4 linked regions of the Lonchura striata genome follow. The protein of the gene in region 3 interacts with the protein of the main gene of each other region in a pairwise test. Links are inferred from orthologs where the notes say so. Each region holds a gene or a part of one and is shown on either strand. Other genes may lie near its edges. The genes, in order: DES, microtubule nucleation factor SSNA1, EHHADH and FUNDC1.

The links.
Region 1: the proteins of EHHADH (region 3) and DES interact in binary tests that used the Homo sapiens proteins (3 or more experiments, as listed by UniProt). The two-hybrid records come from large-scale screens. The link is inferred for Lonchura striata from reciprocal best matches to the Homo sapiens genes EHHADH and DES.
Region 2: the proteins of EHHADH (region 3) and microtubule nucleation factor SSNA1 interact in binary tests that used the Homo sapiens proteins (3 or more experiments, as listed by UniProt). The two-hybrid records come from large-scale screens. The link is inferred for Lonchura striata from reciprocal best matches to the Homo sapiens genes EHHADH and SSNA1.
Region 4: the proteins of EHHADH (region 3) and FUNDC1 interact in binary tests that used the Homo sapiens proteins (3 or more experiments, as listed by UniProt). The two-hybrid records come from large-scale screens. The link is inferred for Lonchura striata from reciprocal best matches to the Homo sapiens genes EHHADH and FUNDC1.

What each region holds. Positions count from the first base shown.
Region 1 is NC_134610.1:16,073,083-16,080,022, reverse strand, and holds the start of DES (desmin), read right to left. Parts: upstream 3,009-6,940; 5' UTR 2,934-3,008; coding exon 2,383-2,933; intron 964-2,382; coding exon 903-963; intron 729-902; coding exon 633-728; intron 544-632; coding exon 382-543; intron 296-381; coding exon 170-295; intron 1-169. UniProt on the Homo sapiens protein: Muscle-specific type III intermediate filament essential for proper muscular structure and function.
Region 2 is NC_134603.1:141,329,146-141,336,350, reverse strand, and holds the start of microtubule nucleation factor SSNA1, read left to right. Parts: upstream 1-4,189; 5' UTR 4,190-4,312; intron 4,313-5,275; 5' UTR 5,276-5,316; coding exon 5,317-5,661; 3' UTR 5,662-7,205. Other genes in the region: WAC (WW domain-containing adapter protein with coiled-coil), read right to left, coding at 1,773-1,968, 3,341-3,377, 3,504-3,544. UniProt on the Homo sapiens protein: Microtubule-binding protein which stabilizes dynamic microtubules by slowing growth and shrinkage at both plus and minus ends and serves as a sensor of microtubule damage, protecting microtubules from the microtubule-severing enzyme SPAST.
Region 3 is NC_134612.1:6,533,634-6,540,542, reverse strand, and holds the start of EHHADH (peroxisomal bifunctional enzyme), read right to left. Parts: upstream 3,017-6,909; 5' UTR 2,991-3,016; coding exon 2,920-2,990; intron 1-2,919. UniProt on the Homo sapiens protein: Peroxisomal trifunctional enzyme possessing 2-enoyl-CoA hydratase, 3-hydroxyacyl-CoA dehydrogenase, and delta 3, delta 2-enoyl-CoA isomerase activities. Catalyzes two of the four reactions of the long chain fatty acids peroxisomal beta-oxidation pathway.
Region 4 is NC_134604.1:110,767,728-110,774,919, forward strand, and holds the start of FUNDC1 (FUN14 domain-containing protein 1), read right to left. Parts: upstream 3,008-7,192; 5' UTR 2,877-3,007; coding exon 2,813-2,876; intron 2,460-2,812; coding exon 2,303-2,459; intron 473-2,302; coding exon 397-472; intron 1-396. UniProt on the Homo sapiens protein: Integral mitochondrial outer-membrane protein that mediates the formation of mitochondria-associated endoplasmic reticulum membranes (MAMs).

The sequences.
Region 1 (6,940 bases), on a different chromosome or scaffold from region 3:
GGCCACTGCTGGGGGAGGTGCAGTCCAAATGCGGGATATAAGGCCCTCTGCAATAGGAACTCAGAGAGCTGGGAAGAGCCCCCCACCCCAGAGATGTCCCTGATCAGCCTTGGAACAGCAGGTCCCTGCAGGGAAGCTGGGGATCTTCTCAATGCTGCCCTTAGCTCACCGTTCCCTTGAGGGCATCAATCTCACAGGTGTAGGACTGGATCTGGTGCCGGTACTCCAGCATTTCCTGTTTGGCCTGCCTTAGCGCATCGTTGTTCTTGTTGGCTGCCTGTGTCAGGTCAGACACCTGGGGAGAGACCAGGTCAGTGGGGATGGCCCCCGAGATGGACCCCGCTGTGCTGGGGCCAGCCCAGAGCCCACTGCCTCCCGCACCTTGGACTTGTACCACTCCTCAGCCTCGGCGATGTTCTTGGCAGCAATGCTCTCGTACTGAGCGCGGATGTCCCGCAGCGCGGCGGTCAAATCGGGCTTGGAGATGTCCATCTCCACCTGGATGTGCTGCTCCTGCAGCTGTGCCTGCAGCTCCCGGATTTCCTGCATGGACAAGGTGACATCTCAGGGCACCCACTCCATTTTTGCTGCCCCGTGAGTGCCATTGGAAAAGGGTGCCACTTCTGACCTACCTCTTCGTGCACCTTCTTGAGGAAGGCAATCTCTTCCTGCAGGGACTCGATACGTCTTTCCAGGTCAATGCGTGCTAGTGTGGCTGCATCCACATCCTGGGAAGGACAGAGAATGAGGGATAGTGGGAGGTTGCCGGGGAGCACAAGGGCTGGAAGGTGCAAAGCTGTGTCCAGGACCGTGCCCTGGTGCTGGGTCCAGGCTGCTGGGGGGAGATGGGGGTGGGAAGGAGGGTAGGGCTCCCACGCCACACCAAGGGGACAGGTACTCACAGCTCTGAATGCAGCGAGGTTGTTCTCAGCCTCCTCCTTCAGCTGGATCTCTTCTTGCAGCCTGTAGGCAGAGAAGGAAGGCTAGGGGGGTCTGGAGGAAGGTCCATCCCTCCGTGGTGATGTCCCCCCGAGCTGTCCTTAAGCCCAGAATGGCCCAGTAGGAAGAAAACAGATTGTCCTGTGCTCCCGGCAGGCAGCAGAGGACTGGCGGGGGGCCAGGGGCTCTTCCTCCTATTCCCTATTATAGTCAACGCCAGAGAGATCACAAAGACATGAGGTCAGCTCAGTGCCACGCACACTGCCCCAGCCCTTATAGGGGAGAGTGACCAGCAGCTGGGGGGACAGAGCGCAGGATCTGACAAGGAGTCCAGAGATGGGCACCAGCTGAGCTATCCCAGGGAGAGCAGGAGCACAGACAGATTTTGGCATTGCTGTGGGATGGGATGTGAAGTTGGGACTGCTGTGGGGGAGGTTCAGGTCAGGGCTGGAGGTCCAGGCTTGTGTCAAGGAAGGCAACAGTACTGCAGGCTGCATGTCAGTGGAAAGGCAGTGGGGAGGAGATGGAGGCGCCCAGGTGGTGCTGGCACATGGGGTGGCAGAAACCCAACACCCGTTTGTTCTGGGTCCTGCTCCTCCCCTGTCAGGGAGAGTTCCTTCATGGCACCAGCCCCCAGCTCCCCAGCATCAGGGAGAACCCCAGCACTGTAGTGGTGGCTGGGGTTACAGGAGGAGGCAGCAGGCTGTGTCACCCCGAGGGAATGGTGTCCCCAGGGCACAGGGTCCAGGAGGGAAGGTGCAGACCATCATTTGATTATCTGCCCCTAATGCCAGGTTTCCCACACATCAGTTCCCGGGGGTTCCCTCAGCCTGGCCATCCTTGTGGATACTCTCCACTCTCTTCCCTGGCACCAGCCAGGTCCACAGCATCTCTGGGGTGTCCCACTGCTCACAGGGCACCATGGACACTCACAGCAGGCCTGAAGCATCCCTGGCCTACAGAAGTGCAGCTGCTTCCTCCCCTCCCTCCTTCATTTCTGGAGCTGATGGTGCAGCTTCCCTGGGTTATCCATCCCCTTACTTCTGCCAGCCTGACTGCATCTGTCTGTCCATCTCTCCCACAGAGCTCAGCTCACCCATGGGCCCAGCAGCCCTCCCCGGTGTGAGCAGAGATGGGGACCCCGGGGTGAGGTGCACTTTGATCTCCCAGTGCTGTGGTGTTACAGCCCAGATTCAGCCTCACTGCAAGGGAGAGCACAGGGGACACCCCTGCTGGGGGAGCCACTCTACCCTCTGGGTGCTGCCCAGAAAGTGGTCAAGGGTGACAGAGCACTGGGCTCACCATGGGCTCTGAGCATGAGGCACGAGGATAGCAGTAAGCACCTGAAGAGCTGCCAGGGCAAGCTCTGCTCCCAGCCACATCTAGGGATGGAGATGCAAGGATGGATGCTCACAGGGACTCTCCAGGACCCCCCCTACTCACTTCTGCTTGAGCTTCTGCAGGTCATCGAGCAGGTTGTCACGCTCAACCTCCACACGAGCCCTCTGGTTGGTGAGCACTTCGATCTGGCGCCGGAGCTCCCGCAGCTCCTCCTCGTACATCTCGGCCACGCGGGTGGGCTCCTTGCCCCGCAGGCGGTTCACCTCGGCCACCATGAGGGCATTCTGCTGCTCCAAGAAGCGCACCTTTTCGATGTAGTTGGCGAAACGGTCATTGAGCTCCTGCAGCTCCACCTTCTCGTTGGTGCGGGTCTGGAGGAACTCCTGGTTCATGGCATCGGCCAGGCTGAAGTCCAGCAGCTCGCCAGCCCCCTGGTAGGCGCTTTGGTAGGTGCGCAGGGGCGTCACGCGGGTGGTGCGGAAGGTGGACAGGCTGGGGACGGCCGAGGTGCGGGACACCTGGTAGACGCGGGAGGTGACGGAGCTGCCGCTGCTGCCCTTGCCCCCGAAGGAGGCACGAGAGAAGACCGGGGAGCCGCCGAAGGTGCGGCGGTAGGACGAGACCCGCTGGCTGGAGGAGTAGGACTGGCTCATGGTGGCGGCGTGGGGAGGCGAGGCCGGAGCAGGGAGCAGGCAGAGGGCTGGCGAGCGGCCGGCACAGCTCGGAGAGGCGTCGGGAGCGGACGGCGCGCCGCTATTTGTATCCTGCTGCCAGCACCCGCCCCTCCTGCTGCCGGGCAGCTGCGGGACGCTGCCGCGGGGGATCCGGCCGGCAGCCCCCGCCCACTGCCCCTCACCTGCACACACCCCCCGGCACACAGGCACCCCTGGGCCCCCCTGCAGCTCTCTGGGAGGCCTTGACACCGGCCCCCACTGCTCTGCCCCGTCTCTGGCAGTGCGAGGGGAGGAAGTGGGGCAGACTGGTGGTGAACCCCCCATCAGGATGCAGCGCCACGCAAAGGGGGTCCAGACAGACAGACAGACAGACAGCCTAGGCTGATGCCATGAAGGGAAAGAGGGGAACCTCACAGCATCACTTGATCAAATGCCGTGCCAGGTCCATGGTCCCCAAACTGGTCTTGTGCACCCCAAACAGCCCCTGATGATGCCCTGACCCACCCCCTGGCAAGAGCACTAGGCTCAGGTCTCCATGTGGGGCCAGACTCCCATCCAGAAAGTGAGCAAGGAAGGGCCCTGGAGGGGGGTTGATGTGGGGGGACCCCTGCCCTGAGTGTGCTTCTACTGACTCACCACTCAAGCTCTCTTTCTGACATGGGGGGCTGAGCACTGGCCAGGGTCTGGGTGCTTTTGGAGTGCTGCTGAGTGACCCCGAGCAGGTGCTGGGTCTGAGCCCCAGTGACGGTGACGTCAGCCCCTGTCCTCGCTCCGGCACATTCCCAAAGCAGCAGGCACTCAACCAAAATAGCCTTCCCAGCTCATACTCGTGGGGTGTGGGACATACAAACGTGGTATTTATAGTGGGGGAGGCACTCTGTTAACCCTTCTTGCTCCAAGCACGTGGAGAGCACAGCTGGATGGTGACCCTGCCTGGAGCAGCCCTAGCCCCTCTCTGATCCCCATCACCCTCAGAGCAGAACGTAGTCCCTAGGTTATCCCAAGGCACAGCAGGCTCTTCCCTGTCGCCTCAGTTCCCCCCTTGGCCAGGAAGTACACTGGGGATCTGAAAGCCCAGCCCAGCTCCCCAAATACTCCCAGAATGGGGAATTTCTAAGTCTGTCTGAAAACCCCCACTACAGCTTCCTGGAAAAGTGGTGAGTCAGGCCAGGGACCCTCATGGCCTTGCACAAATGCATGACAGCTGAAAAGGACATCCTGAGGGAGGGCACGTGTGCTGGGGGAAATCTTCATGAGGGTTCCCCTTGCCTGGGCAGCATCCCCTCCTCCCCAGGCTCCCCAGCACGCCCGGTGACCCCCAGCTCTGTCCAAGCTGGGCTGTTTTGGCTGACGTCAGCTGGCTCAGCCCCAGTGCCTTTGTCACTGAAGGCCCTGGTGGAGGGGACCGCTGTGCCACTGGGCACAGGGTGACTCAGCAGCAGGACAGCATTCAGCCCTGCCTGGCCCTGCACCTTCCAGGCTTCTGTCCTGCCTGTAACACAGAAGCCAAGCAATGCCATGGCTCACCCACGGCAGCATCACCATCAGGCAAAGGCTCAGGCTTGTTCATGGAAGCATTCTCCACTGCTCTGGCTCTGGGAGGAACTCCCTGCTGCTGCCTCCCTGCTCCATGTCACTTGGGCAGCCAGCTAAAGTCTGGGTCCCACAGACATGCAGGTGAGCAGATGCTCAATGCCCTGCATCCCCTCTGCTCCTCCAAGCCCCCATCCCTGGAGCCTCTCCCAACCACCCAGTTGCAGAGTGATGTAGTGTCTTCCCAGTGAGTGCAAGCTGCCTGGAGGAGCCTGCCTTTAAAAGGGAAGGTATTTCCAGATGAGGTTGTTTCATCCCAGCATAGAGAGAGAATGGAAGAAAGGGGGGGCTTGTGGGGGGAGAGTAGATGGAAAAACAGACAGCATCCTTCCTCCTTCTGGCCCCATTCCGAGTGTGCCCTGCCTGTGCCTCAAGTGCCAGCAAGCCGGCCCTTAGCTGGTGTGCAGAGGGGCAGGTGGGTGCCCCGGGAGGGGGACTCGGGGCGTCTGTGACAGCACACCACCAGGAACAGAGTTCAGCCATCCCTTTCCATGACCCCACCCCACTGCTGTGCCAGTGGGGACTGTGGGGAGGATGGAGTCCTCAGGGATACAGCGTCCAGAAGTGCCTGGCACTCTGCTCTGATAGGTTTCAGGTAGGTTGATGCAAATCCCATCTCAGGCCTGGGTAGCCTTTGTTCCCATCCTCATCCCACAGAGCAGTTGGGGGCAGGGTTGGAGTGCTCCAGGGAGGGGAAATGCACTCTTGGGCACTGCTGCTTGGAGGGGAAGCAGCTCAGAGGGGCTAACCAGGAGTATCCTCCTGACCCTGCTCTAGGGCAGTCTGTTTGAAGTGGTCTTTCCTTAGCTGTGGTGACAGCCTTCCGGTATGGCTCTGGGCAAGCAGGGGCCCCACGTCTTGCAGAGGGTGGACAAGCCTCTTAGGAAATCCCTGTCTGCTTGGGGGACCCAGCATGCCAGGAAGGAGGGATGAAGTGCAGGACCTAGAGGCCCTGCCTGAGTCCCACGGACAAGATGCCAAACACTCTTGTGCCAACTAAAGACCCAGAGGCTGCAGAAAGTCAGGAGGCTGCAGAGGCCAGAAGTGCAGGGCTGCCTCCTGTCCTGTCTGGTCCTGTGCAGCCTCCCCACAGCTCCGTCCCAGGCCAGGCTGACCCAGACCGGCGGAGCCTGGGAAGTGGCTCCTGAGCCCCCGCACTGGCCTGGTCCCAGTTTCGATCAAATCTTGGATGAGACTGCTGCCGGGAAGGCGTTTGGAGCCGGAATGTCAAACAACTCCCTCTGGTCATGACATCCCTGTGAGCAAAGCCAGCTGCATCCTGCAGCTGCCCCTCCTTCCTGGCCCTCCCCCCGTGCTGCTCCCCCAGGATTTAAACCCAGCACAGCCTCCTTGGGCTGTGGGCGTCTTGGGGCTTGAAGCTAGACAGGATATGGGGACAGGGTGCTGGCCTTTCCTTGTCCCTATACCCTGCCACCAGGACCCAATGCCCCCTTATGCCTGGCCTTAGCTCAAGGGTGAGTTGAGGAATGGGAATGGGAATGAAGCAGCGGGGGTGTCCATTCCCCTCCCTCCTGACCCCTGGCTGTCTTCCTTCATCCCACTCCTTTTACAGCCATGAGCCTCCCAGGCGCCTTTACCCTAAGAGGGAAGGACTGTGTGGCCCATTCCCCAGTGCTGACGGATCCAGGCTGCACGCTATTGTCTAAATAGGAGGTGGCTCTCCCTCCCAGCTTGTACCAAGGCCCAGCCTGGTCTGATGGGGTCTCAGGAGTTTGTGGGTAAAGTCTCCAGTCCCCCAGCTGCCCCCATGCCTCTGCTCATTCCAGAGCTCAGGACCAGGGGTTGCACAGACTGTCTGTTTCCTCCTGGTCCCCACCTCCATGTCCCGTGGTGATGGGGATGCTGAGGACATTGTCCTGTCTGTGAATGACACAGAATGCTGGGGGTCCCTGGATGCCCCCACGGCAAGCATGGATGCCAGGGTTGTCCAGATGCAACCTGTATAGATGCTAGGAGGTGTTTGCTCCCCTCCCTTGGCCTTTGCATGTCCTCTGGGTGAGTTGTTGCCTCTATATTTCACAAGCATGCTGGGGGAGACCAGCTACTTCCGTGTCCATGTGGTTGCTTGATGCATACACCTGCCCCATCACTCATCTACAGCTGGCCCTGAGGTCCATGGGGATGTTGGGGATGTCCCCACATCCCTGCTGCCTAGGGGCAGGCTAAAGGGTGTCCTGCCCTCATGGTCCATGGGGACATTCACCTGGCCCAGCAGTGTGGAGATACTGAAGATGTCCAGCTGCCCTTGTGATCCATGTGGACGTGGGGATGACAGAGTGGCTGGGTGGTCCATAAGGATGCTGCAGGCCTCGATAGCATCACCCATGCCAATGAGATGAGGTTGCATTACCCGCTGCATCGCTGGTGGCTCA
Region 2 (7,205 bases), on a different chromosome or scaffold from region 3:
TTAACATAATTTTGGTTGTTCTAAATATATTTTACAGAGGTGAAACTGTGGCCAAACTAACCTTACTAATGCCACACCAATTAAACAGTACAAATGTTAAACTTTTAAAATTAGTAATTTCCCTTAGACTGTTGAAGACTACTTCCTTATTCCAGTCTGTTAACGTATGATGTGAAAACACCTGTTTTAGATCAGAATAAATGAAACTTTCCACTGTCTTAACAACTAGGAGAAGGTACAGTGGGATGGTGTTCCTTTAATTCACAAAACTACAAATAATTTATTTTCTTTCATCCTGACTGCATGTATACATACTTCACACCACCCCCCAGCTATGAAATCCTGCTGGACCTCATAAGGACTTCAGAATATCTCTCCTATCTTATAACACCTCCAACACACAAATAAGCAAAGCAATCCCCACATAGAGCTTCATCCTCCAGATGTTTTCATATATGCATGATTCCACTAAATGCAGCTCTGTTCAAGCAGATAAAATTACCGACTGTAGCAAAACTAAGAACTGCAATAGAATGTGGGACTAATTTTTGGACAGGTGAACAGAAAATAAAAGAGGACATCTCTGTATCCTGAAAAGTAGCACAGAAGAGCAGCATATGGGCATTGCACGTGCATTTAATTCTGAGATTACTACACTTCAAATTATTATCAGATACAATGAAATTCAGCGTATTAACAAAAGAGGCATGTTCTTATAATGCACCTACACACTTCTCTGTCATTAACAGTGGCCTAGAGAGCCTCAGCATTAAACCAAAGAAGGAAAAACAAATAGGATTTACAAGAATAATTGGGTATCCATGAACACATTTGTAGGGTTACACTAGTATGTCCTAAAAAGGTACTTGAAAGATACTTCCTTTATTTTACTAAAACTATTATATCAAGTAAAACTAGTGCAGCAATAAACATGTATGTACATCAGAATTTGTTAGCTTTATACAGAAAAAAGAAGCACTGATTTAAAGCTCCAAATTCTCTACTGGAATACTTCACCTTGTACCTTGACACAAACACCAATCAACAGAACAAAAGAACTTTTCCAAATTCAGACAGCAATTGCAATTTTCTAAACTCTGGCTGTTTGTTACCTAACACTGTTATTACCTGGAAAATCCTATTATTTTCCTAGGAAGCAGGGATGCAAAATAAGATCAGTTAAAAAAAACTGGGGATATTGCTACTGTTTATAAGCCTGTAAAAACATAGGAGGCTAACTTGACTGTGAACATACTTCTTCAAATTCCAGTCAAGAAAGGCTCTAGTATGTGCTACCTTTGATCTATTAGAGTTCTACATAGCAGCTAAATACAAAGAAGCTTTTTTCATTTCTGTTGGAGTTTAATCTATAGAGCATGTACCTACAAAGTACAACATCACAATACGCAAAGTCATTGAAAGGATGCAAAACAGCCAATATTACTAATGAAAAATTGGAAAACTATTTCATGTTATCAAACGTTGCTGTATGCCTAAATAAATGAGACATACTAGTTAAAATAATAACAAAAGGGTTTATTTAATCTTTGGGACTGTAAGGAAAACTACCATACCTGTAAAAACCAGAAAATTAATAGGTGTTATAATGCCTCAATGATTGCTTCCAATTAAATTCCCACTTTGGGTTCACTGCAATCACCCTAGCTGAGTACAAGGCACATTTAGTGTAAGACATCACTTGAGTTGATACTGGTTAATTTTAATGAGAAATCAGTGACTGGTTAAGTAGAAGTTTGTTAAAGATAACTTACCACCATCCCTCTCTCTAACTCTGTGAGTGTGCACACTTTTTGCTTTACTGTGCCCTGTGTTGTCACCGTATTTGTTTTCAGGGCTGTCAGAGCGCCGCAGCATTTTATTTGGTGGCGAAGGATCTGTGGCGTCTCGCATCTTGTCATGACGGTGATCACCACCACTGGGGTGACTCTTGGATGTGTACTTAAGAGCCTGTAACAGATCACAAGAACATAGGCATCTACATTAGATACAAAATTTTTGGATTTTTTTCTTCTCTTTCAGAAGTATTTTAAAAGTTAAATAATTTTCATTGCCTATTAAAACATATCAGCATTAGTCTTCCTAGTTTTAATTACCTACATTAAAGCAACAAGTTCTGTAATTAGAACTTAAACCAATTTCTCCCACTATTAAATCAAATGCAACACTTGCTGTTAAGAAGAATCCTAGTTTCTCTATCTTTCCACTGATGAATTACACAGTTTCAGCAGTAAATGGGCCACAGCTCTTCAACAGTTTTGGGAGAGGAACTAGTCTCCACTTGTTACTAGGAAAACAAACTTTAAGTTACACTGAATCAGTGTAAACTTCGAATATGTCCTCCATAATCTAGTAAAGACCACCTGGTTGCATCACTATCTTGAATTTCTGTGACGTTTTTTTCAGTACTAACATCCTTGTAATTAAACCAAAAATAATTCTAGGGGGCCAACATGTAACATAATAACTCATTATAAACTCTTTACCAAAAACTACATGTTCTGCCGCACTCTGACCTGCTTGGTTTTGTGAACTCCTGAGAGGCAAGTGTTTACATTTTTGTGAACTGCCACTGACAGCTGCCTTGGACGGCTCTAGTGCACTTCAGTGATTCAAATACACAGAAATGCAGTAAAACAGTCCAATTCAGGGCCCACAGAGAGCAATATCACAACATACAGCTTTCCACAGACTCGAACCTCGACAATTTGGTTTCTTCAGTAGACACAGTAAAGTGCAGTATCCACCTTACACAAATTGAGACTATTGTCGGTAACTCAAGGATTTGATGGTTTCTGAACATGCCTAGCAGCTGGCAACTGCAGAAATTAAGCCTCACTTGCAGCCCCAAGTTGGTCAGGCTCTAAACCCATGCCCTGCTCAGGTTACAGCCCACAGCAGCAGTTTTGGGGAGAAGAAAGGGCTTTGGGGAGGGGTTGGGGGAGGGGGCGGTGGAAGAGCAAGACTCCTTTTGTTTTTAGAAGAAAAACATTCACCTCCCTTGGATCTCCACTCCACCACAGGTGACCCCGGCTCCCTCTCCTGCCCCTCGCACCCTCCCCGACTCCAGGCCCGAGCCCCGCACGGGTCGCACTAGGCCGCTCCCGCTCGCCCCGGCTCCGCAGGCCTCGGCCGAGCAGCGGGGCCCCGCTCCCCGCGCCCGGGCCGCCGCCGCTCCTCCGCCGCGCGGCGCCGGGCCCTGGGCCCCGCAAGGGGCCGGACCGGGGCGGCCGGGGCACCGCGGCCTGCGGCGGCCGCCGGAGCCTCCGCTGGAGTAGCACCCCCCCCGCCTCCCCTGCTCCTCCTCCCGGCCCGGCGGTACCTGGTAGGGCTGCGAGTCCCCCCTGCGGTCGTGACAGCTGAGGAGAGAGCGAGAGAAAGAGAGAGAGGCGTTAGCGAGCGCCCGTTACCGGCCCCGCGGCCGGGCCGAACATGGCGGAGGGGGTGGGGGGGGCGGCCCCGCGGGGCCGAGGGGGTGAATTTACCCATCACTGAGTCTCTGCTGTTTCCTCGCATACATTACCATCAATGCCCGGCCTGTGTGTGTGAGGGTGAGGGGACCAGGAGGGCACGGCCGCGGCCGGGCCACAGGCGCCGAGGGGGGAGGCGGGGGCGGCAGCGCTCCGGGGGCAGGGGCGGGGGAAGGGGGCGGCTCGGGCAGCTCGGCTGGAGCGGCGCTCACGGGCCCATCGCCTCGAGAGGGGAGACGCTGGCAGCTCGGCCCCGCGCGCGCTGAGACACACCGGGAGCACCGACTCGGCCACCGCCTCCCCCCGCCGCGCCCGCCGCCGCCGCTCCAACTACATCCGGGGAACTCGGGCGACGCCGCGCTCGGTCAACGTCGGCTCTTTCCGGCTCTTTCCGACGCGCTCCGTCCCCTCTGTCCCCTTTGCTCTCGGGCGACTCTGCCTTCGGTAAACATCGGCTGCGTCCGCCGAGCCCGACGCCCCTCAGTCCCTCCCTTCGGCAAACATCGGCTGCCTCCGCCGCGCACGACGCCCTTCAGTCCCTCCCTTCGGCAAATATCGGCTCCTTCCGTAACGCTCGGCCCTCCCTGCCCCTCCCGCCTCGGCCCACTCTTGCGAGCGCTACCTGTCTTCGGAAAACATCGCGTTTTTCCGGAGAGACGTTTCCGTGCGGCCGTCAGGGCGGCGCCACGTTCGGAAGCGCTCGGGTATTTCCGTGGGCCGGCGCGGTCGCTGGCGGGAGCACGGGGCCGGGTAGCCGAGGGCAGCGCGGCCTCGGTGGCAGAGCCGCTCCCTCGGTGGGGAGGAATCGCGATCCTGCCAGGCAGGTGGGGGCAACAGGGGGAATTACGGGGGGCGGGGGGGACATAGGAATGGGAAGGTCTCCTCTTACCTACCCCCTCCTCCCCTTCCGCCCGGGCACTCGATGTGCAGGCGGGAGCCATTTTGTGCGCGGCGCGTGTCGGCGGGGCCGCGCTGTGCGGCGCGGAGGGTGTTAAAATGTCCCTGGGACGGCGGCCGCGGGCTCGGGCTGGCCTCGGTCCCGGGGTGTCCTCGGGGGTGTGAGGGCGGCACACGCCGTGGCCCCGGCACATGCGAGCCGCGTCACCCCAGTGTTGGGGGAGCTGCGGGCGCCGCCGTGTCGGGAGATTCCCTGGCCTTGGCAGTGCCTGCTGAGCCACTCAGGGCTGTGCCCGGTGACAGGACGAGGAGCGACGTCCATAAACTAAAACACGAGAAGTTTCACCTCAGAATGAGGAAAAAATTCCTTTGAGGGTGGAAGAGCACTGGATTAGGCTCCCTGGGAAGGGCGTGGAGTCTCCCTCTGCGGAGACATTCAATACCCACTTGGTTGCTCCTGGTGACCCTGTCTTGCCAGGGGGTTGGACTGGATGATCTCCACAAGTCCCTTCCAACCTTATGCATTCTGTGATTCTGTAGTTTTTGCTTATTTCTGACCAGGCCCTCGAAGTCTGATGTACAAAGCATCCTATATTCAAGGTTGTACAAAGGTATTATTAACCGTATCATAAATACTTCGATGCCAGTGCCATGGCAGTGTCATAAGGGACAGCAGTTTACAGTAAAGGTTTAAGAACATTTGCCAGATTTTGTCCTGTCTGCCTCCTGAAAAGGGAAGAGATGTGGCATATCTGAGAATGGGCCTGTTAACTTAGAGAACCTTGCCCAGTGGCTCCATCTGTGCTAGTGAAGCATTATTCACGGCAATGCTCTCACAGATTTTTTTTTTTTTCTGTTTGTTTGTTTGTTTTCCTTTAATTTGAGTGCAGAAGGCCATTGCTGAAAGGGGACTTCAGGGAGTGAGTGCAGGATGACTCAGCAGGGAGCTGTTCTTCAGGGTTACAATAATGAACTAGTGAAATGCATTGAAGATTTATGTATGCAGAAAGAAGAATTGAACAAACAAATCCGGCAAGCAGAAGAGGAAAAGAATAAACTCCAGCATGAAATCCAAGTCCTCAGTGAACAGCTGGAGTGTGTATGTGAAAACTTGGCCCAAAAAGTGGCTTCACGGAATGAGCTTGATAAAATACTTGCTGAAACTGAAGCTGCTTACATGAAGATTTTGGATAGCTCTAGAACTTTACTTAATGTCCTGAAGAAGGAAGTGGGAAGCTTAAAGCATTCACCAGATCTGAAAACCCATGTAACATGAAACAGTCAAATGTTTGGACTCTGCAGTGCTAGAATTCCACTAGGTGAGAAACGTGGTCAGCCACGGAACCCTACAGCCACAGTATAAGCAGAGAGCGGTTTTCTTCCAGTCTTTCTGTATGTTTTTTTATTTTCAAATGCACTAGAAAACAGATTAAATAAAGTTGCCGTTTTGCTTTAAGAAATCTACCTAATTGAACACTACGAAAAATAGCAGATAGGTAGTTGAGGCAGATGGGAGACTGTCAGTTTTGACATCATTATGCTTCAAGTCTTAGAAAAAAGGCATGTTTTATTGGTTGACTTCAGATGGCTCCCAGTAAATTATTCTTTGAAAACTAGTAGATGCAAGTCAATCAGATACTACTTCTTTTCATTTTACTAATGCTTAGGCTTTACTGTTGGGACCAAGTTGAAATGAGCTACTTTTACTTTGCTCTAGGAGCTCGGAGTTTTGATGCCTGCACAAAGACAGCCCCGTTTACAATAATTGCCTATTTGAATAATAGAGGGATAAGGTGAGAAATCAGGAGTAATGCAGGGCATGGAGGCTTAAAATTTAACACTGTATGTGGTTCATGCATCTTCTTAAGGTATTCTTCAAAGCCTTGTTTAGAAAGGAGATGTGCTGCAGTGAAAGGGTTTGGTGCAAGTGCAAAGACAGGTGCACCATGAAGGCTTGGACCAGTAATTCACTTGGGGGTAAGAAAATCACGTCAGTAGCAACTAGAAGTCCTGAAAAACCACTGGGGTCCAGTTAAAAATACAGAGGTAAATAAAGACCAAAGAAGATAATCCTGGCTAGAAGCCAGTAATAGAATTTTTGGAAGCCTTTTTAGTTCCTTTTAGCTTTAGACTGATCTGTTAAATAATTGTAATAAAATTGTGGAGAATAGTAAACATCCTAAAATGATATGAAAGAAATACAAATGAAAGGTGAAAGAAGAAAATGAGAAGTGGTTTTCAGCTATCAGTCATTCTTACAGAGGACATTAAAATAGAACTTAGTTTAGAGATCAGGGATAATATAACAGCATGGCATAAATATCAGTTTAATGCTGTTTTTTGTTTCTGCTGAACCTCTCTGTTCTGCAGAAGTCTCTCAGCAGTGTGTGCACGTACATGTGCATTTTGTCCCTCTTATTGAAATGTTACAACAATGACTTAAACTGAATCTCCATTCAATACCAATTACTTAAATTGAAAGAAGTGCAGTTGAAATCTCCTGACTTGATAGTGGTGTGTTTGTAAGGTGCACATATAGAGGGAATGAAGATGTGAATAGTTTTGGTAATAGCTCTTCATCAATAATAGGGAGCAAATTTTATGTTCTTCTGGTTGCCAAGCTACATCAGGGATGATTGTGACTAGGCTAATCAGTTTACTTGTATGGCCCTTTGGGGAATTCCCAGTGGGTAATGCAGAGGTAATAAAAGTGTATTATCTCAGGAGCATTGCTATTGGAGTATTGCAGCACTCAGGACCACTTTGTTTATGTTGAAGAGAAACAGGAAAATTTTGCTATTTTTTGTAGCAAAAAAGTGA
Region 3 (6,909 bases):
CTTGCTTCAGTGTCAGATCCAGCTGTGTAGCAGCTACTGTCACATATTGTTGTGTGACAAGTTGCTAATGCAGCTTCAACAGTCCCACACGTAAATTAAGGCCAGAGCCAGAATGGCATCTTTTGACTGGAATTTTAGAATAGTTGTTTGAGGAAGCAGATGCTTATTGATCCCAGAATTTTCTCTCTGTATCTCATTCTGGTGAAGTGCTGATCTGTGGGTGATCACATTCTCCCCTCATTGCTACCTGTCTGAATCTGCAGCTTCTCTCATTCCCTTTACATTTTTTGAATTTTAAGGTGATCAGAGTCAGAAGGATAACCCTGGCAGCCAGGGAGAGCTTTTCCCAATCAAACCTGTTATGCTGCCACACTTCATAGAATCCCACACATAAGCTGCCCTACTGCATGGCCTCCCCTATCCTCCCTGGAGCTTTTCTGTCCTTGTCAGCTTAAATGTTGAAATACTCCTTAAAGTCCTTCTAATTCCCGGTGCCAGCGGCCTGCCTCTGCTGAGAAGGGGTAGTCAGTCCTTCCTTTTGCAAGTCTTGTCTTTCTGCTACTAAAAACCTCCTAGTTCTTTGCATATCTGGATCCCTTCTCTCAATGCCGTGGTCTTGTAAATGCAGATCTCTGAATACTAAACTTCTGCAAACCAGGAAAAAGCCCTCCAAACAAATGCAATTTGGCACATGCCACTTCTGCTGGTGGAGAGAGTGATTAGCTTAAAGGGGAGTCTGTGTGGGAAGTGAATTTGCTGCCAGGCTCTCAAGTCAGCACACATTTCTCAGAAAAGCACTGCAGGTACCAGCAGAGGATGATGTCAGACAGGAGAAAGCAAATTCCTGCCCACCATTGGCTTCTAAAGTGCTAATGGCTAATGTGATGGCCCAGGAGGGGGGAAGTGGATAATGGAGACAGGTAGGGAAGGTTGGAGTACAGCAGCAAAAACTCACCAGTCTTAAAAAGCGTTTGTGCCTGCTGTGAAATGAAATTTTCAGGATTGCAGGGCATGGCTCCTGTCTGTAACTTTCACTGCCTGCTATCACCTGTGCAGTTCCAACATTTCCAACAGCACTAAGAAACTTGCTTCCTGTGGTCCAGTACAGAAATGTGCAGGAACAGGAGGAGCACCCAGGGATCAGAGTGTGCTGTACCTTTCCTAGCTGTAGTCACATCTTAGCTAACACCTACCTGATGGCAAGGGTGTGAGAATTATGGATCTCTTTTAAAACAGGTATTGCCCTGGTATGCCACCAAAGACCACCGACATGTCTCAAGTTGTAGTTTAATGGATCTGAAGTCTACAGGATATTCTTTCTTCCCTGTGGGACTGAGGGACAGGACCACAACCACACAATCTGTCTCCCTTGGTGTACCAGAACTGCACCTTGCTGTGAGGGCACTGCAGGGCCAGGAGCAAAGGGCAGTAAAGGCAGAGATCTGTCCTGAAGAAGTTGTTGTGCTGTTGCTATTCAAAGGCAGAGGTGACTTTGGGTTTTCTCCAGGACTTCTCAAAAGAGGGGAGTTAAGGTTCCTAAACACATATCTGTAACTGCTGATGGTTGGACTCAGTGATTGTAAAGATCTTTCCAACATCAGCAATTCTATGATTCTTTAGGTCTGTATTTTGTATTTTTCATGATAAGGATTGAAAGTTTATTGTGAGCACAGCCTGGAAGTTTTCTTAGACTAGTCTTGGGCACAGGAGGTCCAAAGGATGTCTTACACCATACAGTTCTGGGAGTCTTACGTGTCTGGTTCATCTAAACTCATCAAGTCACTCCAAGTTTCTCATGGTAATTACCTGAGCATGTGAAAATGTTCTCATTCCACTTCCAAACAAGTTGCAACAGAAGAGTGACCAGTGCCAGTTACAGTGTAGCTTTTCTACAGAAGAACATCATGTTTCGTCTCCTTTTCATGCTCTTACTTGTCTCCGTGAGCTTCTTTTTAACGAACTTTCTCTTTTGTAAATCAAGCACAATTGCAGTGTGATTATTTTTGGCTTGTGAATACAGACTGAATAGACACTGTGGTCACTATTACTGAACAACTACAGCTGCTTAGAAAGGGTTTATGTGCTATTCAGAACTAAAGGAACTAAACCCCACAACTAATGTAAAGCCAAAAGCACGTAAGTCCTTTTCAAGACACATGAAAAACTAAAATTTCAGAGGCTCCTACAGATTGGTGTTTGACTTCATTTTTCACTGGCTCCTGTTTGAGATTGCATGGGGCCCTTCTTTACCAAGATCAGTAATTAGAGGTCAATTCCTTAATTGTTTTTAAAGGCCAAATGAACTGTTTTCTGATAGCCCTGGCTGAGTTTAATCCTGGTGCCAGCTCTGCTTGCTGAACCATGCCTGATACCCACAGAGCCCTTTGCCCTCTTGGATAGCACAAGGATTCGCCAGGCAAGTACTGAGCAATGTGGGGCAGACAATCAGACCAGGAAATCTGAGGACTGACTTGTACCAAACAGCACTGAAGGCACTCCAGGCTGAGCTAGCGCTGCTGTGCTATGCCTTGCTGAAGCAGTCTTGATGTTTAAAGACTGGAAAATGATGAGAAATAAGCAAGGTTTTTAAACACCTTCCACGAAGATGGCAGAAAGTATGGTTTGCTGAGCCTGGCACCTCTCCTGTGAAACTCCCCAGCTAGAAATTATAAGAAAGAGCAGAAGTTATGGCAAAGTTCAGCATGTTGTTTGCAAAGCGAGATCCAGGCTACCTCTGAAGGAGCCGCCGGTACTCTGCGAGTACTGAGCGGTGTAGAAGTCCCGGCTGAGGCTCACTGGGGCGAGCCTCACTCGGGCTCGGAGAGAAGGAACGAGGTGAAAGGGAAGGAGATCGGAGAATCCTCCACCCGCTCCTAAGGTGTCCTCAGGCCCACGCTCCCCGCGCAGTGCCGGCGGTACCTGAGCGCGTTGACCGGCGGGTTGCAGAGCCGGATGACGGCCACGGCCGAGCCCCTCGCGTAGTGCGCCATGCCGAGCCTCCCTCTGTGTCCCCGTGTCCCCGGGCCAGCCCCGCCGCGCCCCGCCCGCAGCCCGCCCCCACCGCCCGGTCACCGCGGGGCTGGCCCCGGCCCGGGCCGGCGGAGAGCTGCCTCTGCTGGGGTGGCAAAATGCACAGTATGGACACTGTTCTTAAGGAAGGTTGTTCATTAATGTTTGATCTTTATAACTTTCAAGCCTAATCAACAAGAAAGGAGGTTTCAGCTCACAAGCTCTAAGTGTTGTCCGGGCGTTGGGAAGAGAAAACCTTTTTGGTAGAATTGCCTTGTTAAGGTCTGGGGCTCCACGTGTTTCAATGATCCCAGTCCTACGGGAGGTTGACAATGCTTGGGAAGAAGGATGTGTGTGATGTGCCACTGAGAGTGGGCACACAGAATGCAGAACTTAGAGGCCACAAGGCCATTTGGCAGAACCCCCAAAATAAGGAAGAAACTAATAAAGCCAACCCAGCAACTGTGCTGAAATCAGCCCTGACTGGGTAAAAGGTAATTCTGGCAGGAGCAGGTCATGACCAGCGACTCACAGACCACTGACCCAAGAAACCACTGACCCAAAAGAAGATAAAGACTGGCCTAATTAGCATGAGAAATGAGAGAATCATTAATCAGTAGAAGACAGACCACTAAATAAGAGAATGATGTAACTTGCAGCCAATGAACACCAATACCTTCATTTGCTAAAATGTATAAATAGTGAAAAGTTTTGATAGTTATGCTGGCTTTGTGGATTTGCTACCCAGCCTTCTTTCTGTGCACAAATGTAAATAAATCAAACACCTTGACTTAGTGTTGGATTGGCATCTTGTATACTGGGTGAAAGAACCTTTTCTGGGACAACACTGGAATTTAATGTGTGCTCCAAGTCAAGCTCTGTCCCTCTGGTCCTCTCGGGCATCACTTCAAACCAGCCCCTCAGCTCAGTGCTGTAGTGCCACTGTAAAAAGAGCTGAGAGGTAGGGAGGGGAAACAGTTTCTAATGTTACAACAGGTATTTGTTGCTTTAAAATGTTATTTAAAGGACAGAAAATATTCTCATCTATACATTGTTATATTCTTATTTATATATCTATAATCTCCCCTTTATGTCTCTTGGCCTTTAAAAGTCAGTCCCTGGGCAGAATGGCTACAGTTTTTCCCTGGTCTGGAACAGGTGTACACATTTTTAGAAATTGATTTACATGTACAGAAAGGTCCTTCACTAAAAGCAAGCTTTATTGCTGCTTTTATATAACCTTTATTGTTACACCTATTGTGGTGGGTCACTACAGCTCTTCTGGCATTTATTATATAATGTTACAAACCCCCCTAAACTAGTGATAATACTCTGCCATTTGCTTGTAAACAGCATGTTCTGGGAGTTTATAAAAATTGTGTAAATGATGCCTTGGAGGGCTAGCTGGTCTGTCGAATTTTTATTAACCAGAATGAAACCAAAGATCAGTCTAAGTTGTACTCTGTGTTTATAATTTACAGGTCTGATCTATTTGTCCTTTAATAATACAACTGCTGTAGTTGTGATAAAACAGCCCTATTTCAAGCTCGAATAAACACAGAAGAAAGCAGTGCTTGGGAAAAGAGAGCTCATAGGAAAAAAAAAAAGAAGAAAGTTCTACATTGTTATGGAAAAGTTCAGGTAATATTTAAGGTTGTGCTTGTCTTTTTTTCCCTTTTTCCTTCAAGATGAATGGAGTTTGGTAGTGAGAAGAAGAATAAATGAATTTCAGTATATACAGCAGAGAGATTTTAAGTCTTGGAAGTTGTGTAATGACCAAGTGCAAAGGCCTGAGCTTAAATCCAGATCCCAAACCAATGGGGAAAGAGAAGTGCATGGTACAGGCCCCAATTATGCTTCTGGCTGTGTTTTCCTCTTCCAGCATTGCTTTTTTTCACTGCAATCAGACCAAGGCTCTGCAGCTCTGCTACATCTGAGCTGATCTTGCACATGGGAGGGGTGCAGGTTGAAGAGCCTGTCAGTGCACTTCACCATGGCAAAATGTTACCAGGGTGGTCCAGTTTGTTCCTCCAGCTTTTGTGTGGCTCCCCAAGAGCTTGTGCAAGCCTCTGTCAGCCCTGCTGTTCTAAAGCTGTGCGGGGGCTGCCAGGCAGTTTGTGCTTCCCTGGAAAGCAGCTGTGGGCTATGGAGCCACAGGACAAGGTGGCAGCTTTCTCTAGCCCTAGGCCTGCCAGAGGAAAAGACATCTCACTATTCCAGATCCCTCTGATTACTGGTCTTTTGACCACACACTAGAGAATAATGCTCAGAAAATACACCTAGCACCCAGCTCTGGAAAAAGGCTTCTGAGACAGGAATAGTGGGGATGAAGGTATTTTTTACCAAAAAACAGATTTTAATGGATGGAAATGTTGTGCTTTGTCTTCTGAACCCCTCAGAAAGTGCCATAGTAGGAAAAAAAGATTCCTACTTCTTTCTGAGCTGGAGCAACACAAATATATCAAGTCTCCTGCAAGCCCCCGGGATCATCATCCTGTTCAGGAAGTGCTGAATGATAAAAACAAATGCTTTATTTATAGGAGCCTCAGCTTCATTTTTATTCCAGTATATCAGTGATACAAGGTACTCCATAAGAAGCACCTTGATTTGCTCTAACCTTATTCACACAGAACAAAAATTCCTGGAAAATGCTTTTTTGACAGCTGCACCCAGAGAGACTGGAAAAGGTGAGTGCAGTAATGTCCCATCTGTAGGAGTAGAGTATTTCTATGGGAATGACCTCTGGGGAGCATGGAAGGTCTTATCAGCTGTATTGTGCAATCTGAGTGGAGATTTGTGGTAAAGCCCATGGCCACAGTGCTGAGAGGGGCAGGAACTCTGAAAACTGAAAAACTTACTGGTTCTTGTCATCAGCTGGTCTAAACTTCAGGCCTGAATTATACCTTGCTGTTGAAATGACAGACAGGAGGGCCAGCTAAATCCAACAGCTGTTTTCGGCTTTCCCTCTTACAGCTATGGCCCTTTTTCCCCCCCACTTATTATCTGCTGTAAAAAGAGCTGCAATTTTTGTAATTTTTGTCTGACCCCTTCATGTGTGGTAAAAGCCAATACTGGTAAACATTTGATCACAAAATAATTTCAGAGTCTCCTTTGGTTGTCACACCCTTAGGAGGTGTCCTCTGATAATTTTAAGTTTATTTTCCAAACAGTCTCCAAAACCCAGCCTCACAGAGCCTCAGTGAGCTGGAGTTCAGTGCCTCAGGGCTGGCACAGAGAGCCCTTACAAAGGTGGAGCAGGTGTGATAACTAGAACAACACAGCAAGGCACACTGTGGGCCATGCAATAGCATCCTATTGCAGAATTTAAATTTCTGCTGAAGAGCCACAGCTTCTGTCAGCCATGAAGGTTGTTTTAGATTGACGTGATAAAGACATATTTAAAAACCTTTTTGTCCTAACTGGGTATCCTTTGAGGATTTTTTTTTTTTTTTCCTGTAGTAAAAAAGGTTTTCAAATGTCTTGGAATCTTTGCTTTTTGTTTTGTCTTATAAAGTAAGGCAGGGCATAATTAAATGCATTGTTAACTTTGCCCCTGTTACTACATTTAATAACTTAAAAACTAGTGTGGAGATGGAGAACAGTTGCATACCCAACTCTGCATTCCCCTTAGAAGCAAACAGCTCATTTTTGTTTCAAATGTGTGTGTGCAGGTGTGGAGAGCAGCAACACAGCCCTGTGAGCACGACAGCTGTTAGCATGGAATCACAGACAGGTTTGGGTTAAAGGGACCTTAGAGGTCATCTCAATCCATGCCCTGCCATGGCCAGGGACACCTTCCACTCGACCAGGTTGCTTCAAGCCCTGTCCGACCTGGCCTTGGAAGACTTTTGTTTTATTGAGACTTTACTCTGCTCCTTGGCTTCTTGAAACCCAGGATTA
Region 4 (7,192 bases), on a different chromosome or scaffold from region 3:
CCAGGCAACTGCCAAAACAGCTATGATAAAACTATCAAACCAAAGTAAAACAAACACATTTTAAATTCTCCCTAACCATAGGTTTACAGGCAGTTCCTCTCATCTGGCAGTGTCAAATCACACACAGTACCTCAGCTTCTGCACGGAAGTTCTCTTGTCTTACAACAAACTATTTTACAGGACAGAGTAGATTCTGATTTACCACTGATTTTAGAAATGTCTCCTTTGTACATTTGTACACAATATTCCAGCTCAAATGTAAGGTTTTGACTGATAAGACTAAAAAGATGAAGTAGGTAAGATGCCTTCCTAATTAAATGTTACCCAACAGCTGTGCTTTTCCTATTGTTTAGTAAATAACATTTGCCAACTTATAAAGCATGAAATGCTACATACTTGAAGCAGAAGAAAGCCACCACCTACTGCAGTTGCTGCAAGCTTTCCGACTTTCTGGAACAAAAATCCCGCACACCTTAGGGGAACAAAACAAAACAAAAAAAAAACCCAGTCTAATGAAGTTTTCTGCTAAACAATGCCACACTACACAATTCCTGACTACAACTATTACCATTATTTCATATAAAAAGCAAATGTATCACTTCATATTTACAAATTTAAAAATCAAGGCTATTTAATTCAAGCAATATTAAATTAACAATGTTTAAAACAATACAATGTGAGTAATGGTTGCCTGTTCCTGGCTGTCTCATGGCCCCTTTAAAGTAACCTTGAGATCCCAAGATCTTACTGCTATTAAATGTAGCATGTTAATAAAGCACAGCATAATTACATAACAGTGCTACTATAACTGTTCCCAAGTGGAATGTAAATATATTATACTGTAATTTATATTAACTACACAACTCATAACTGAAATATCTCAGTAAAAAGCAGCACATTCCTATCACAAGAGTTAAACTCAGTGAGGGCACTCTGCTGGGACATGGTGTTAAGTCTATTTTTAATGGATCAAGGCAACCAGAAAATTACCTTGTTCTCAGGCTCCAAACCTCCCTCATCAAATGGAGAACAGATATGGATATCACAGAACAATGACAAGGCAGGAAGGGGCCTCTGGAGGTCACCTGGGCCAGTCACCTTCCCAAAACTGCTGCAGAGCCCAATCCAATCTCAAAGCTGGATCGGGCTGCCAAGAGCCCTGACTCAGACATGAGTTTCCAAGGCTGATGGTTCCACAACTTCCCTGGGCAATTCCAGTGTGTCTAAACACTGGCTCACATGCAGAGGGGAATTTTTTCCCGCTGCATATAAATAGTGAATTGTCATTTATATACATCAGTAGGCAGCCAGAGAGATGTGCATCTACAGATACTGAAATGTGCATTTTCCAGATCATTCAATAAGCCAGTTTTTATGGATGCCAGATGAACTATTCCCTAGAAACATCTGAGTTTACACGTACACATATAACTTTTTAAAATAACTCTAAGGCTACAGAAGCAAATAAAAAATTCTGACTGAAAGCTAAACCCACACCACAAAGCTGTACTGAGCTGGGTACAATAATTTCATTTTTAGTTTATTTCATCTTCTAATCCTTGCATAATCCCTCTTTAAAAGTCACTTTGCTACTATAATGGTGTTTTTCAATGAATTTACAGTTTTTCTGTGTACTGGAGTAGACAAATACCATTCAAATACCTCTGACAAATAACAAATACCTTGACACAGCTGCTCAGGCTGTGACCACATTTTCCAGTTTAAGTTCTCATCCTGACTGTCTAGCTTTCACCATGAATTATTCTAGTATAACTAGGCTATGTATCAGTTAACATCACAGTAAACTGTGAATTTGCTCAACATGGCTGCAGCTCAATTTAGAAGAAAAAAAGTCTCCAGGAAATGAGGCTCTTAATTAAAAGTACATTTTGCCATCCTTTTTTCCTTCCTTCATTTCTTTTACCTGTAAATATGTCTCAGCCATAATATAACTAAGTTTCTAAATCTAGATAAGGAAGTATGCTCTTCCATACAGAGTAAAAGCTACATGTAGTAATTTTCCATTTATTTCTTGTCATTTTAGAGCTCTGACATTTTCCCAAATCTTTTCCACAGTAACTAGTATGAGTTCCCTTGGATAACTCATGTTTCACCACTATTAAAAAACACTTCATAATGAGTCAGAGTAACAAGCTAAAATTGTTCACACATGAACAATCTTGATCAATGCTAAAGGAAATCCCATTAAACATGTATTTATCTGCTTTCAAATACCCTTGGAAATGGATCTCCTAACAAAGTAAAATGTCTAGGCCAGTTATGGAAAGGGAAGCTCCCTCACCAGCCAGTCACACCTCCCATCACAATCTGTGTGGCTACAGAGTATTTTTCTACAATTGGTCCTGAATTCCGGCCAAACAAGCGGTTCCACCAATGGTGACGTCGAGCATATTCTGTTAAATCCAGCACTTCGTAGGAATCGTCGTCACTGTCGTGGTCTGAAATAGAAAAAGCAATTTTTAAACATGTTATCTTCTCAGTTATAGAGTAAATTAACAAGTTATGTGAAAGTCCCAGACTCAGTTTGGGCATTAACCGGGTAATCCAATGGTTTCAACTGTAATGTACAAGTTATGGTCCAGCAGCTCCCAGAACAAAGGATTTGGGGATTCTATGCCATCACCAAGGTAAGGTGTAGAAGGCTACAGCAGTGGTATAATCAATAAAATCCACGCCTGGCACTGCAAAGGTGAACAAGAATCCCCTGCCTGTTCAAGAGACATCCGATAAAACTACCAGTCATCTCATTCACCACAAACAAAAAAACCCAACAAAAACCAAAGGGACAGACCAACATTTGGAAAGATTAAGAACTTCTGGCCCAGTGCTCTCCTCAGAGGACCAGGCATCAGCATTTGCCAGGAAGCGACTTCTGTTCCTTTTCCAGTGAAACAGATGACACAGGGACTTCAGTTAGGTTCCATGTTTTCAGGACAATTCTGTCAATGTTTTCAAAACAGGCATCCTACAATTTCAAATTAAGAGATCCTCAACACTGTGTATACTCAAGCATCAGAGGAAAGAGATGGGTCTAGATTTTTAAAGAAAAATATTTTAAAAGTGTATCACAGTCTGTGACATACACACATGAACTGAAGTCCACTTTGATTAAATATATTTAAGGTTAAATCTAAATTCAGCACTATGGGTAGGACATTCCAGAAGAAGTTAAATTTTTACCTAGAATTAAAGCAAGACTGTAAATATAAACATTTTATTAAAATTTTGACAGTTTTTTAACTTGTACTACCAGTATGGGTAAAAGCTTCAAAGACTGCAAGAAGTACATATATAGGTGGGCATTATTTCTCTTTATTACCATATGTCCTTGAGTACTAAGTAATAAATAGTGAGACCTATAATGCTAAAAAATTGATATTGAATGTTCTTTCTTTGCAGTACTGAGGACAACTTGTTTAACTTCTTTGGATGGAGAATATTAAAACACTGTCATGAACAGTCACAATAATTCCGCCCTTAAATTATTATTATTTAAACCAGAACTAGTGTACACATCCATAACACGCTCTGTGGCAAATAACTGCCAGAGCGTTTTCTACCGATGAAAAATCCTCCTGCATGCGACAAATGATGTTCCGCACACTGCCCAAGCACACGGAACGTGCCAGTGCCGAAAGGCGCCGCAGGACGAGGCCACAGCGATGCCCGGAGAGCCCCGCGCGGGGAAGGATGCGGCGGCCATGGGGGCTGGAGCCTCCGGTCCCGCATCCCCCCGGCACCTCCGGCTCCGTGAGGGCTCGGCCGGCCCTCATTCTGCCCGCGGGCCTGCCTAGAAGGGGTTTGGCTGGTTAAATCCCGGGAACGAGCTTTAGCCCGGGTGATGCCAGGAGCGCCGGGGCCGATGCGCCGGGCCGCGCGGTGGAGGGGGGGACACGCAACGGACAAGGGAGGCGCAGAGCCCGGGCCATCCCTCCCCGCCCCCGGGACGCAGCGGGAGGGGGCTGCCCGCCGCCCCCGAGAGGAGGAAGGGCGCCCGCCGCGCCGCCTCCTCCGCGCTCCCGTCAGGAAGGGGCCAGCACTGACCTGAGGCGGAGCGGGGCCGCCGCGCCGCCATGTTGGCCGGTGCTGAGGCGGCGAGCGGCCGCCCCGCTGCGCCCCCAGCGGCCGCTCGCGCCCCGCCCCGCCGCGGTGCCGCCCCCTCGCGGCCGCGCCGCGCATGCGCCTCCCGCTCCCCTCACCCCGGGGAGTCCCTGAGGGGGAGGCTGCGGGAAGGGGCGCGGGCTGCGCGGTGGGAATAGTGGCGTATCCCGAGCTGGAGAGGACCCGCGGGGATCAGCGAATCCAGCTGGCTGCCCTGCGCAAGGCACCGCAAGAATCCTGCCGTGTGCCTCAGTTATCCCGACGCTTCTTGAGCTCTGCCGGGCTGGTGCTGTGACCACTGCCCTGGGGAGCCTGTTCCACTGCCCAGCGAACCCGCTGGAGGAAGAATCTTTTCCTAATATCCAACCTAAACCTGCCCTGACACAGCTTCAGGGCATTCCCTCGGGATGTGTCACCGTCATCACAGAGTGATGATCAGTGCCTGCCCCTCCTCTCCCCTCACAAGGAATTTGTGACTGCACTGAGGTCTCCCCTCAGTCTCCTCCAGGCTGGACAGACCAAGCGCCCTCAGCTGCTCCTCACACGCTTCCCCTCAAGGCCTTCCACCATCTTCGTTGCCCTCTTTTGGGCTCTCTCCAACAGTTCACTGTGTTTCTTGTATTGTGGTCCTCAAAACAGCACACGATATTCAAGCCTGTGCCTTGAGGGGCTCATTGATGCCAGTGGTGGGGGTAAGAACCCCAAAACCTTCTCAATATCTCCCAGTGGCTGCAGGCATGGCTGGACAGCAGCTGCGTGCCACGAGCCCCATAAAAATTAATAACCAGAAAAAACCAAACACAAGGCCCCTCAAAGTACAAAGGTTAAAGCCAATGTGAGCTGTGAAACATTGGAAAAAACTAAATTTGAGCCCTGGTGTGCTTGCTCCTTCAATGCGTTGGTGGGGTTTCAATGGGCTAAAAGCCACATAATTGTATTTTAGGACTGTTTTTTTAAATGTATGCAGCCGCCACGGAGGTGGCTGACACAGTAAGTGCACCTTTAGGAGCTTTATTGCAATATGAATGAAGAAAACATCAAGGAACTTAATTTATAAATAATAAAATTGAAAACAAATTATTTAAAAGTGTTTACAGCTTCTCACTTGGACTCTTACACTGTCAATACACAAAGCAGGTAATTATAATGAATAAAATCCACTTTTCTGTATGTCATAAAGCTATTTTTATGGAGTAAGCATTTAGGATTTTAATTAAACCCCTTAATTACACCAGCCTTTACAGACATACCAGAAGAGGGAAGAATGTATCTTCCACGAGAAAGTCCTTCTGTAGTCTGCTCTGAAACTGAAATTAGCATATAAAACTTGAAATTAGTGTATAAAGTGGTTGTTTGCTTATTAAATTATTTTTATTACAAACATTTGCCATTGTGATAATTAGGTGACAGCATGCCAGACAGAACTGGTAATATATTGCTTTCTCTAAGGTTTTCAACAGATACATTCCTATAAGGAACAAACAGATTTGTCTCTTATGATTTGTTTTGACAAACACTGTGCATCTTGGGAGTTTTCTTGTTTAAGCATAAAATTGGTGGGTTTGGTATTCCCTTCCCAGTCAGTAAAAAAGTGCTTGTTGACATTTCCCAGTCAGATGCCAGTAAGGTAAGAGAGGTGACCAGAGAGTTTTGCTCACGTTGTGTGAGCCTGGCTATTTTTGTACCTTTTGTAGCTTGAATTCTTAATATTTGGCTTCCCTATTTTTAACTACTATCAGTTAAAAAATAGCAGCACTTCTGTGCAAACAATTATATTAATTTCCTTTCAGAACAGGGAGGTTTGTATAATTAGCACTTTTAAAAGATTAACATTAGTAGCTGCATCATGTACTACCTGCGAATTCTGTTTGCTTCCTTTTGCACCCCTCTTGCCAAGTCAGGGTGGTGTGAGTGGCAGGGAAGGAGTTTAGGAAAGACCCAGGGAAAGCCCTTTGGCAGGTTTCGGGTTGTGTTGTCTCTGTTCTGGGATCAGGATGCACCCCAAGGCGTTTCCCAGTGGGTTCCAGTTGGATGGACACCACAGTAGGATGCAGTGGTGCTCCCAGTATCTGCCTGGGATCTGCAGGCACTGCCTGGGGGATTGGCTCAATGCTTGCACAGAAAATGATGTCAGGATTGTTCTTGCTCCCAGCAAAATCCGTACCCTGTGCAGAGACAGCAAACCTCGTGGCTCCAGAGACCAAGAATAACTGGCAGAGCTTTTACCAGCCCCACTGTGATGTATAAAATTCCCCAAGCCCATTCAAATCTCTTGCACCCTGATGCTTCCTTCAAGCTATTAATGGCAGATTCTGACAGATTTTCCAAGGAAAGGTAGACAATTTAAACTCAGGCCACATTTTGGCTTCACCCTTAAAGGTTCTTCAGGAACAAAGTGTTTTCCTGTATCATCAGAAGGACTGCGCAGAAAAACTGCTCTCTTTGCTCTGTAAATGCTACCTACAAGTTCAGGCTGTGCAGCCACCCTCTGTACCTTATAGCTGTGACAAGCATGTTCAGGGTCACAGCTTGCAATGGAACATACATGGCACACACGTACCTTACAAATAATAAAAAACTCCACACTAAGCAACCAAAAACCCCCAAATGCCCCAAAACCCCAAAAAGCAGAAGAGAGACCCCCAATCATCAAATGCCTGTGCGACTCTAATCCTAGCAGCTTTGTGCTGCTGACCAGAATTCCAAACTGGAACATACATCCTTTAATTTTTTACCACCTTGCATGATTAATTATAGAAACTAAAGGCAACACACACTGCCAGCCCTCTCCACTAGGCCTTGCTTGTGAGTGAAACTTATGTTCTCCACAGGCTTAATCTAGTAAATGCAGTCAGAATAACCTGGCAATAAAGGTATTGGAGTGAATGGATGATTCCTTTTTAACAACCCTATGTGAACATGCTGTTATTCAAAGCTCTGTTGGCTGGAAAATGGCAGAGAAATGTCTGGGAAGGGATTTGGGTTCTAAGTCCATCAAGATCCTGGGCAAGGGCTGTTGTGGAGCAATAACCTGGACTGTTAATGCAGTAGGAAGCTCCATGGCTTCCTG